2 linked regions of the Neodiprion lecontei genome follow. The protein of the gene in region 2 binds, or shares a complex with, the protein of the main gene of each other region. Links are inferred from orthologs where the notes say so. Each region holds a gene or a part of one and is shown on either strand. Other genes may lie near its edges.

Region 1 (3,294 bases), on a different chromosome or scaffold from region 2:
GCGAAGTCAAATATTCACCTCCAATAACTAAACACTATGCAAATAAAATATGAAGCCCACAATCTTCAAAAATACCTTTGAACAGAATTGATACTGGAAGGTTGTAAACTTGCGTCTGGTGTAGCATTGGCACTTTGCTCTGGCGTCAAAGAGTTCATACTAGAGAGACTGGATAATACATCTGTAAGCATATAAATGTATAATAAAATGTGGCATTTTTTAGATAATATTACTGAAGCCTGACTAAAGAAATTTTCTAAACATTGATCTTAGCAGAGGATAGGTTTTTCTAATTTACCTGAAATATGAACAAAACATAGTCTTTCATTAGTCACAGAAACTGACAAACATAAAATGGTTATAATTCAGTTTATATTGCAATATTTAAATATAAATCCACTAATAATGTATGACGAGGAATTTTTCGACAGCGTGAAATACGTTTCAAAGTCTGCATTTTTTACCTGATACCGGTGCTACCCCAAGGGATGATAACATGGCATCTAAGTCTTTCCGATGGTCTTTATCGGCACCTGCAGCTCGTACAGTCGCTTCCTCAACCTTGTAAAAAATATTACACATTTTGGAATAAGAGAAGAATGAATTCAATATTCTGGTGAGAAGAAATCCCTAATCAGTGATGTTCTGCCGCTCGATTTTTCTTCTTACATCTTTTTGTTCCTTTTCTTTACGCCGCCTTTCCTTTTCCTCTCGAATCGCCTGCAGCTTGGCCTTCTTCCGTTCTAATTCTGCTTTTCGATCCGACATCATTGCAGCAGTGCCCCTCTTCGTTGTGATGAAAAAAGATTCGTAGGTAAATATTTGCAACAAGATAAGATATTTGTTTATTAACCCTGTACACTGAACGAACAGATGTGACTGAATTTCAGTGGGAACCTTTTGTATCGTATGGATAGGTGAACACGAACCATGAAACAGATTTCATAAAAGTTTGAAAATTTTTGTTTAAATCTAAGTAAAATTCTTATGGATTCAGGTACCTAATAGCATTGACAACTGTCAAAAGCTTGAGGAAACGTTATTTTAGATGGGAAAGGGGGTTAAGACCAATATGTTCGTACATTTCCGGATTGAATACAGAAAAATCGTATTTTCGTAATGTACCGGTAACCGCCGACCGCCTTTTAGAAATTCAATGCAACGCTTTCGTGATAGGGTAGATACACAAATGTAAAGAGTTATTGATTTCTTATCATACATATCCTATAGATATGTGCATATGTATACCTATGTGTATCCACCTTGAATGCCACGTTATGATTCACGAATGACGTAAGTGAAGGAATATTTAATAACAGCACGAGAAAAGTATTGTCAGTAAACTCTATTCCATTCTTGTCCATAAACGAAAAATCATTAGAATTCTCAGCGTGTGTCAGGCGGATAGCAGCTCGATCTAGCAAACCGTACGGGTTCGAAAGTTTCAAAGATGAGTACGAAGCTCCGAATAATCACGAAGTAAATCATCATTTACCTTAAAATATCAGAATCAAATTCACTTAGCACCGAATATTATATACTTTAGAAGAAAAAAAATCACTAAGAAGTTCGCTATAAACGTCAACCGACTCTTTACCCGTTACGTCTGACGTACGGATCCATTTTCCTTCACACGCTATACTCCGGACTCGCTTTCCACGCTGTGAATCAAAGGAGACATTACAACTAATGAATTATGGATGAAAACACACGCATATATTTTTTGTATTCAAAACTAATATTTTTGCATCTGACGGTATTTCTTTACAATAATAATATTAAATATATAAATAGTATTTGAAGGTGTTTTCTTTTCTTCACTTCCGGCTGTCATCTTTTACCACGGAGTATCAAGAATTTAGATACCGATCGCAGACGTAACTTAACCTAACCTACAAACGACATTTATGTAATTTAATCCGAATAATCGACTTCTTGCGTGGGTGATATCCGTCGTTAATCGCTCTTTGCAAAGTAAATTATAAAAAAAAAAAAAAAATAAGTTAGATAAAATAATGGGCGTCTTGCGGTTAGTATATGCATTGAAGTTTAACGAAGCTCTGCTGGCACGGTATTTGACTAGACAGAATTTGGATTAAGGATGGAATAACACATCTCAGTTTACATTACAGATTTGCTGTGAAGGCCAGCGTAGCCGGTGGCTTTACTTATTACACAATTCGAGAAGGTCTTTGGTCCGATCCAGAGGAAACTGTAAAACTGTATGGTAGAATGTACAACAACATAGCACCATACGTGAAAAGAAATATTCCCAAGGAAGTAGCAACAGAGGTAGACCTTAGGCTTCGAGTATTGTTATGGTTTTATGTGTTAGAATATGAAATTTCAATTAATTGATCGGCGCTGTATTTTATTCTAGCTTCCCGAACTGCCTAGTGTCACAGACATTACGTGCTTAGTTAAATCCTCATGGAACAAGGGCGTGATTACAACATTTAAGTTCATATCGAATTTACCTGAACACACATCTAATGCAATCGAGGCGAGTGGAATCAAAGGCGCTATTCTTAGTGCGATAGATTCTGTCAATACCCCCGAGAAACCAGCTCAGGCTTAAGAATTGAATGCTTGTTTTAAATAATTAACATATTTATTTTATTGTCGTATTAGTGGCAATGCATAGTTCCATGTGTAAATAAAGGAGATGTCAAACTCTGAACCAACTCCCTGAATTATTTCACGTATACCCTACTGTGTCGTACAAGCGATCTTATTTACCCTAGTGATCTACCGATGAAGTTGTGAAAGGTTTTACAAGACCAAGTTGACAAAGTTGTTGAAATCACAGATGATTGCGCAGTAAGGTGAAAAACATTACATAGGTCATTAAAACTTCGAATCTTAAGATCTATCGAAGAAGACCACCTGAAAAATATACTTTGGAGGTTCTTTGTTAAATCATTGATTATATTCAGCAGCTGCGTGGAATTAGATCGAAACAATTTTAAATTCCCCCCACAACTCCCGGGTCAGGGATTTTCCGTTGCCATGTTTCCGGTTCCGCCGGGAGCGTCTTTGGTCCAGAGCGCCATCTATTCTTGGATGAAAAGCAAGAGCAATTGTGTCACGTGACCGGTCAGTGTGCAGAAGACATGGCGGACAAAGAGGAGGCTGAGAAGACAATCGCCGAGGACTTGGTTGTCACCAAGTATAAGATGGCCGGCGATATAGTAAACCGTAAGAAAATACAGCAGAATAAAATGAGGATTTTAATGAACATAAAATATCCACCGTAACAACGAGAATCTCTTGAGTTTCGAATAAAATTACCGA
Region 2 (4,986 bases):
TGAATAAATATAAAAATGAATAATGAAAATCAATCTATCATGACTGGAAAAATCGAAAAAAAGAACACATTACAAAAAATCCCTAGCGATGTGACTTCTGCTAATAACTATAAAAGCAAGTGAAACAACATTTGTACTAAGCAAAAGAAGTGATATAGAAGAAATTCGAATAATGTGAGCTGAAATATCAACAGTCTGAGAACAGGTTTACATATTTAATTAGAATGTACTAGACGACCAAACTTAGATGCTTGTATTCTAACCCTTACATTTTTAGGCTCATTTTCCTCACTGATCAGGTTCCCATCAATTGCCTCAAAAATATGCAAGAAATCTTACCTATCGTTCAACAGTTTTTATCTTTTGATTCTTGCTGATTTTTTTGCCTTATCTTTGGCTAACTTTTATTCTAGTTTTTCACATTGTTACATTATATGTAAAATTGGTACGAGTTCAACATATACATCTAACCTCACGAATTGATACGTGTAAGGTTCGAGAAATGTATATTATACAGAATTACTTCAAAGACGGTTTAGTTCTGGTGAAAATGAATTCCTCTCTAGAGTGATACGGAGTGTAAGGATCATTGACGTAGAATCTAGGCCTTCGCCAGAAATTGGTTACCATCGTGTCCAGCAGCCAAGATTGTGTAGCATTTACGAAGACGTGCTGTCTTAGCCGTCTTCTATTCGCTGGCGACTTCTTCCAGAGTTTCTTATGTCGGCCTGTCTTTGTGCGAATCCAACAACCCCTAAAGTAGTAACACAAAATTAAAGAAACATTACTACAACATATATCAGAAACATCACCAAGGATTCAATTAGGGTGAGCTGCATTACTTTTTGGTAAGCAAAAATTACCCTTGTTACAGATTTCTAAATAGGTTGCACAGAGAGACTTGAAATCAATCGTGGTCTTTGTATCAAAAGGTTTGGGAACGGTTATTTGTTATTTCCTTTGTATGTTTTGAATAAATTCAAAAACCGGCTCTTAGTTGAGAATTTGTAAATGTGCATCGGGTTATTTTACCACTTAGAAATTTAAGAATACAAATTCATATCTGCGTATTTCTAATCAATGAAAGAAAACTTCATCAGTACAAAGATTACCAGTTCAGTCTGTAGAATCGCTTGATGACCGCCTTCACACATTTTCGTTTCCCTTTCTGGAGTGAAAACTTAGTCAACGTTCTCACAGGGACTTGCGTTGACTGAATAGGAACTGGCAAAAGCATCCCTGCTAGAGGTTCGCTGAGTGACAATAAGAAGGAATAAAAGACAGAATGAAATATGTAAAGTGTTATAAATTTCATTTAATGGCCGTTACCTGATTATCGAAACTCGCGAATCCCTAGCCGAGTCTACGAGGGGTCGAAAATAAGTAGAAAGGGCGCTGAAACATCGGCAATTTGTCGTCGCGGTCGTAAATCCAGTAGGGATGAGTTTAGAGAGATTTGAATGTCCCGCGCTTACTCCGGCTGCGCGCGCAGTTCCAGCGGCTGGAAAATCAAAATGGCAGTGAGCTCAGCACTGCTAACTTAACCTCAAAACTTGTTGTAATCCAGCTGCAATTTCCCCCGCGGACGCCGTAAGAGCGTGAAATGTAGGTGGAAACACGGAGAGGCCGATTGCCAGGTTGAGGAACGAGCCGCGGTCGAAAAATCCCGGCGAAAACCGGGGCACTCACCTCGCCAAGCCAGACCGACGATGCGCAGCATTCTGCAGCCGCTCGGTTAGTTCCGCGATTCCGCGGTCCACGATCAGCTGTTTGACTGCTGGGCCCCACGTTAGACCGTCGTTCCTTTTTTCCCCCTTGGCTGAGCGACCGGCCGCCCGCGAAAAATGTTCCGAATTGGATTAAAATTCCCGTGCAACGGTCTGAATCGGGTACGTAGAGCGTCTTCTGCTGGTCCAAATCGCCAGCGAAATCATGCGTCTGTCCGTCGCTCGCGGTATCATCTCGTAGATTTTTTACACGTTTATTAATGTTTCCGGCCATGGCGAAGCTCGAGGGCTGACACGAAGGTCGGCCAAATCGCCTTCCTCGGCACCTCGGTTCGAGGATCGTCAGTGTTTTTTTTATTTTCACTTATTAACCAACACCTTGGCTGTCTCCCATCGGTTTCCGTTGGGAAAGTTTCAGTCGTGTTGATATCTTCATTGGCTTCTCTTCTGAGCCGATGACAAGATGGCTTGACTCAGACACAGCAGCTTACATAATTCTATGTTACTCTGATCAGCTTCGCGTCATATGTACTAACACCCTGACCCTATGTTTTCAGGTTAAGAAACACGGGTATTCCAGACTCTATCTGCTCAACGCCAGGTATCACGAGACACGAACTCCCATCAAATGCGAACCCGATGGCAGGTGAGAATCGATTCTCTGTTTTCATTCGGCGCCACTCTTGTCAGTTTCTGGTTCGATCCCCACTTTGATGTGTCAACACTTAAAAATTTATCGTGTCGAAACCTTGACGTTGAAAACTTCATAGCAAACCAAGTTTTCATATGATGTGGCTCAGCACGATATAACTGCAATCCTATTATCAAATCTGATATTTTGCCCCTATTTCATTGATTTCATTCATTTATTTATTACTTTGTATTTGACTCGTAGTTAAATTTCTTCGAAGCAAAACGCTGGCGCAGTTGAGATCCTCAGAAATTACTTAATGACAGAAGCACCGATGGTTTGAGTCAAGGGTTGTATCAAATAGTACTGCGATTGGTTTTTCTTGAATCCTCTAGCGTCAAAGTTTCACAGACCTTATATTTTCCCCTTTTAATTATCCAGAAACAGATTTGAACTAGATTTTATCTCAAAAACATTTCCTTGATTCATTGCAGTTTGTTTAAGCTGGTATTTTTTTTGGCAACGTGTAAATTACAGTGGCCAGTTTCTGCTTTCAGACTTCTAAAGGACGTTAAACTTACGTCCAGATTTTCTGGACCTAAGTATTCGACCGAAGCACCAAAAAGGTATTTGAAATGTGTGAACCGAGATATTCGGCCAGCTTGCATGTTGTAAAAGTATATTTTTCTGCTGTTTAACAAGACTACCGGTTTTGTTTGCATGTAGGGGTTTTGATAGTGGGTGAAATTTGGAAATAGAACCACATTTTCGGCCTGTAATTTCTTTACTCTTGAATGAGGTTTTAATCATTCTGCTTATAATTATTTATGCCAAATTTGCATGATGTGAAGTATTGAAAAAATAATTGCATTACAATCATTAATTTCCCAACGTCAAATCTTCTGCAGAGAGAAAACCCGAGGTTCAGGTGGCCTGATAACACTCGGAGCTTTGACAATCGGAACGTTTGGTATTCTCGCTTATGCCAAGCAAGATCCAGAGTTCAGAGAAACGTTGGAAAAATGGATTCCCGGCAGCAACAAAGTGATCCAAATCATCTTTCAAGAGGAACGATCACTCTTCGATTCTCTGAGAGATCTTTACGAGAGAATTACGCAAAGGTAATCATAGTACAATCAAAATACTTTTCTAAGATAACTTGAGCACTAAACACCTGATTCAAATCTTGTCTGGTTCATTTTTCACGAACTTTATTGATGAGATAAAAACTGAGACAAACAATGCAATAAAGCGGAACCTGACAATAGAACTCCATCTAAAAGTTGTCGTTAAAAATAGCTCATTCGACTATCTTTTTGCAGCTCCAGTCAGCCAGATTGGAATCCATCGGAAGTAGGGAAGAATCCAGTGATATCAGCCTGTAAGAGGACCATAGAGAATTATATACGTGAGCCCTGTCCCTCCCATCCTTATTATCCTTACTTGCTGATTAAAAGATTATGGTACAGTTCAAATGCCGCATAATCGTGCATGGCTTAAATAAAATCCGATTCGCTTACTGCCAATATGATACAAAACAAGCTGAAGCAGTCAATACTGTGAATGAAAATTCGGACCGAACTGTGCCATGTAGTTTCTCCCAGGTTACACTGCCCTGCATGATTATTTTTAAACATTAATTACTGACTTACAAACTGTAATTTGGTAACTTGACTAATTATTTGAACTGAAAGTGAGTGAAAAACATTATGTATGTGTCGAGTGGACAACTGCACAACTTACTCGACTAACAATTCATGTGTTGCTTTAGCTCCGAAATCAGCGTTTGAGACATTGTCTGATGTTAAGGAACCGCCGAAGAATGAACAGTTTTACCAAATCCGCTTCGTCGGGGACCCAAAAGACGAAGTTGAACTCGGTACGTTGATAACGACGGTCAACGCCTATTTTTGCTAATTATTTTTCACTAAAAACAGCTTTCGAATAACGTATAACTGTCCCAATAGTCCAGAAACCTAACAATATTCCCAAGCTCGTTACTAGCAACAAATTATTCACCATTGCGCACATTTTACAGCTTCGAAAGAGGTTTCATCACCAGCCAAGGATCATCAGGACACTTTGCTGCCTGAAAATCTTGTCGAACTTGAGGCGTCCTGTGGACAGGCTGCTGCAAGAGCAATCGAAGCTTATCATACAGCAACGTGCGCGATCGAGAAGTACAATAAAGACGTAGTCAAAGTAGTAGAAAACACCGAAAACACAGACGTTCAATTTTGGGACAGGTGAGAATGCGAGCATCAGTTCGACATCGTTGAGAAGTTATAAAATCCAACAAAGTCTGTAAAACTCTAGTTTCAGTTTGACTCTAAATTTTTTTCATGTTTTTACTTATGTTTTATGTGTTTTTGTTCTTTATATAAAAGATTGAAGGATGCAACAGAGGCGAGGAAAAAGGCGCTGGCTGAGGCGGAGAACAGCGCAGGCGAGGCCTTGCGTTCTTTGAGAACATTGTCGAGCCTGATCGACGACCCGAAGCTCGCTGCATCCCCTGTTTCGAAAACGGTCGCGAGACGAAACATCAAGAAAATAATCGACGACGTTGACGAGGCAAAGCAGAAGTTTGACAAAGAGGCGCAGAGCGCCAATGTCACCGAAAGGTATTGG

Evidence for each region.
Region 1: MICOS complex subunit Mic60 (region 2) and MICOS complex subunit MIC13 homolog QIL1 share a complex: the UniProt entries of both Drosophila melanogaster proteins name them as parts of the mitochondrial contact site and cristae organizing system (MICOS) complex. The link is inferred for Neodiprion lecontei from reciprocal best matches to the Drosophila melanogaster genes Mitofilin and QIL1.

What each region holds. Positions count from the first base shown.
Region 1 is NC_060260.1:9,423,225-9,426,518, forward strand, and holds MICOS complex subunit MIC13 homolog QIL1, read left to right. Parts: upstream 1-1,834; 5' UTR 1,835-2,015; coding exon 2,016-2,071; intron 2,072-2,132; coding exon 2,133-2,292; intron 2,293-2,380; coding exon 2,381-2,578; 3' UTR 2,579-2,680; downstream 2,681-3,294. Other genes in the region: cytoplasmic dynein 1 intermediate chain, read right to left, coding at 76-181, 465-561, 670-771; proliferation-associated protein 2G4, read left to right, coding at 3,114-3,198. UniProt on the Drosophila melanogaster protein: Component of the MICOS complex, a large protein complex of the mitochondrial inner membrane that plays crucial roles in the maintenance of crista junctions, inner membrane architecture, and formation of contact sites to the outer membrane.
Region 2 is NC_060263.1:18,781,969-18,786,954, reverse strand, and holds the start of MICOS complex subunit Mic60, read left to right. Parts: upstream 1-1,754; 5' UTR 1,755-1,844; coding exon 1,845-1,889; intron 1,890-2,284; coding exon 2,285-2,373; intron 2,374-2,915; coding exon 2,916-2,984; intron 2,985-3,266; coding exon 3,267-3,479; intron 3,480-3,680; coding exon 3,681-3,739; intron 3,740-4,129; coding exon 4,130-4,237; intron 4,238-4,396; coding exon 4,397-4,604; intron 4,605-4,745; coding exon 4,746-4,986. Other genes in the region: 39S ribosomal protein L35, mitochondrial, read right to left, coding at 520-754, 1,113-1,253, 1,330-1,501, 1,690-1,720. UniProt on the Drosophila melanogaster protein: Component of the MICOS complex, a large protein complex of the mitochondrial inner membrane that plays crucial roles in the maintenance of crista junctions, inner membrane architecture, and formation of contact sites to the outer membrane.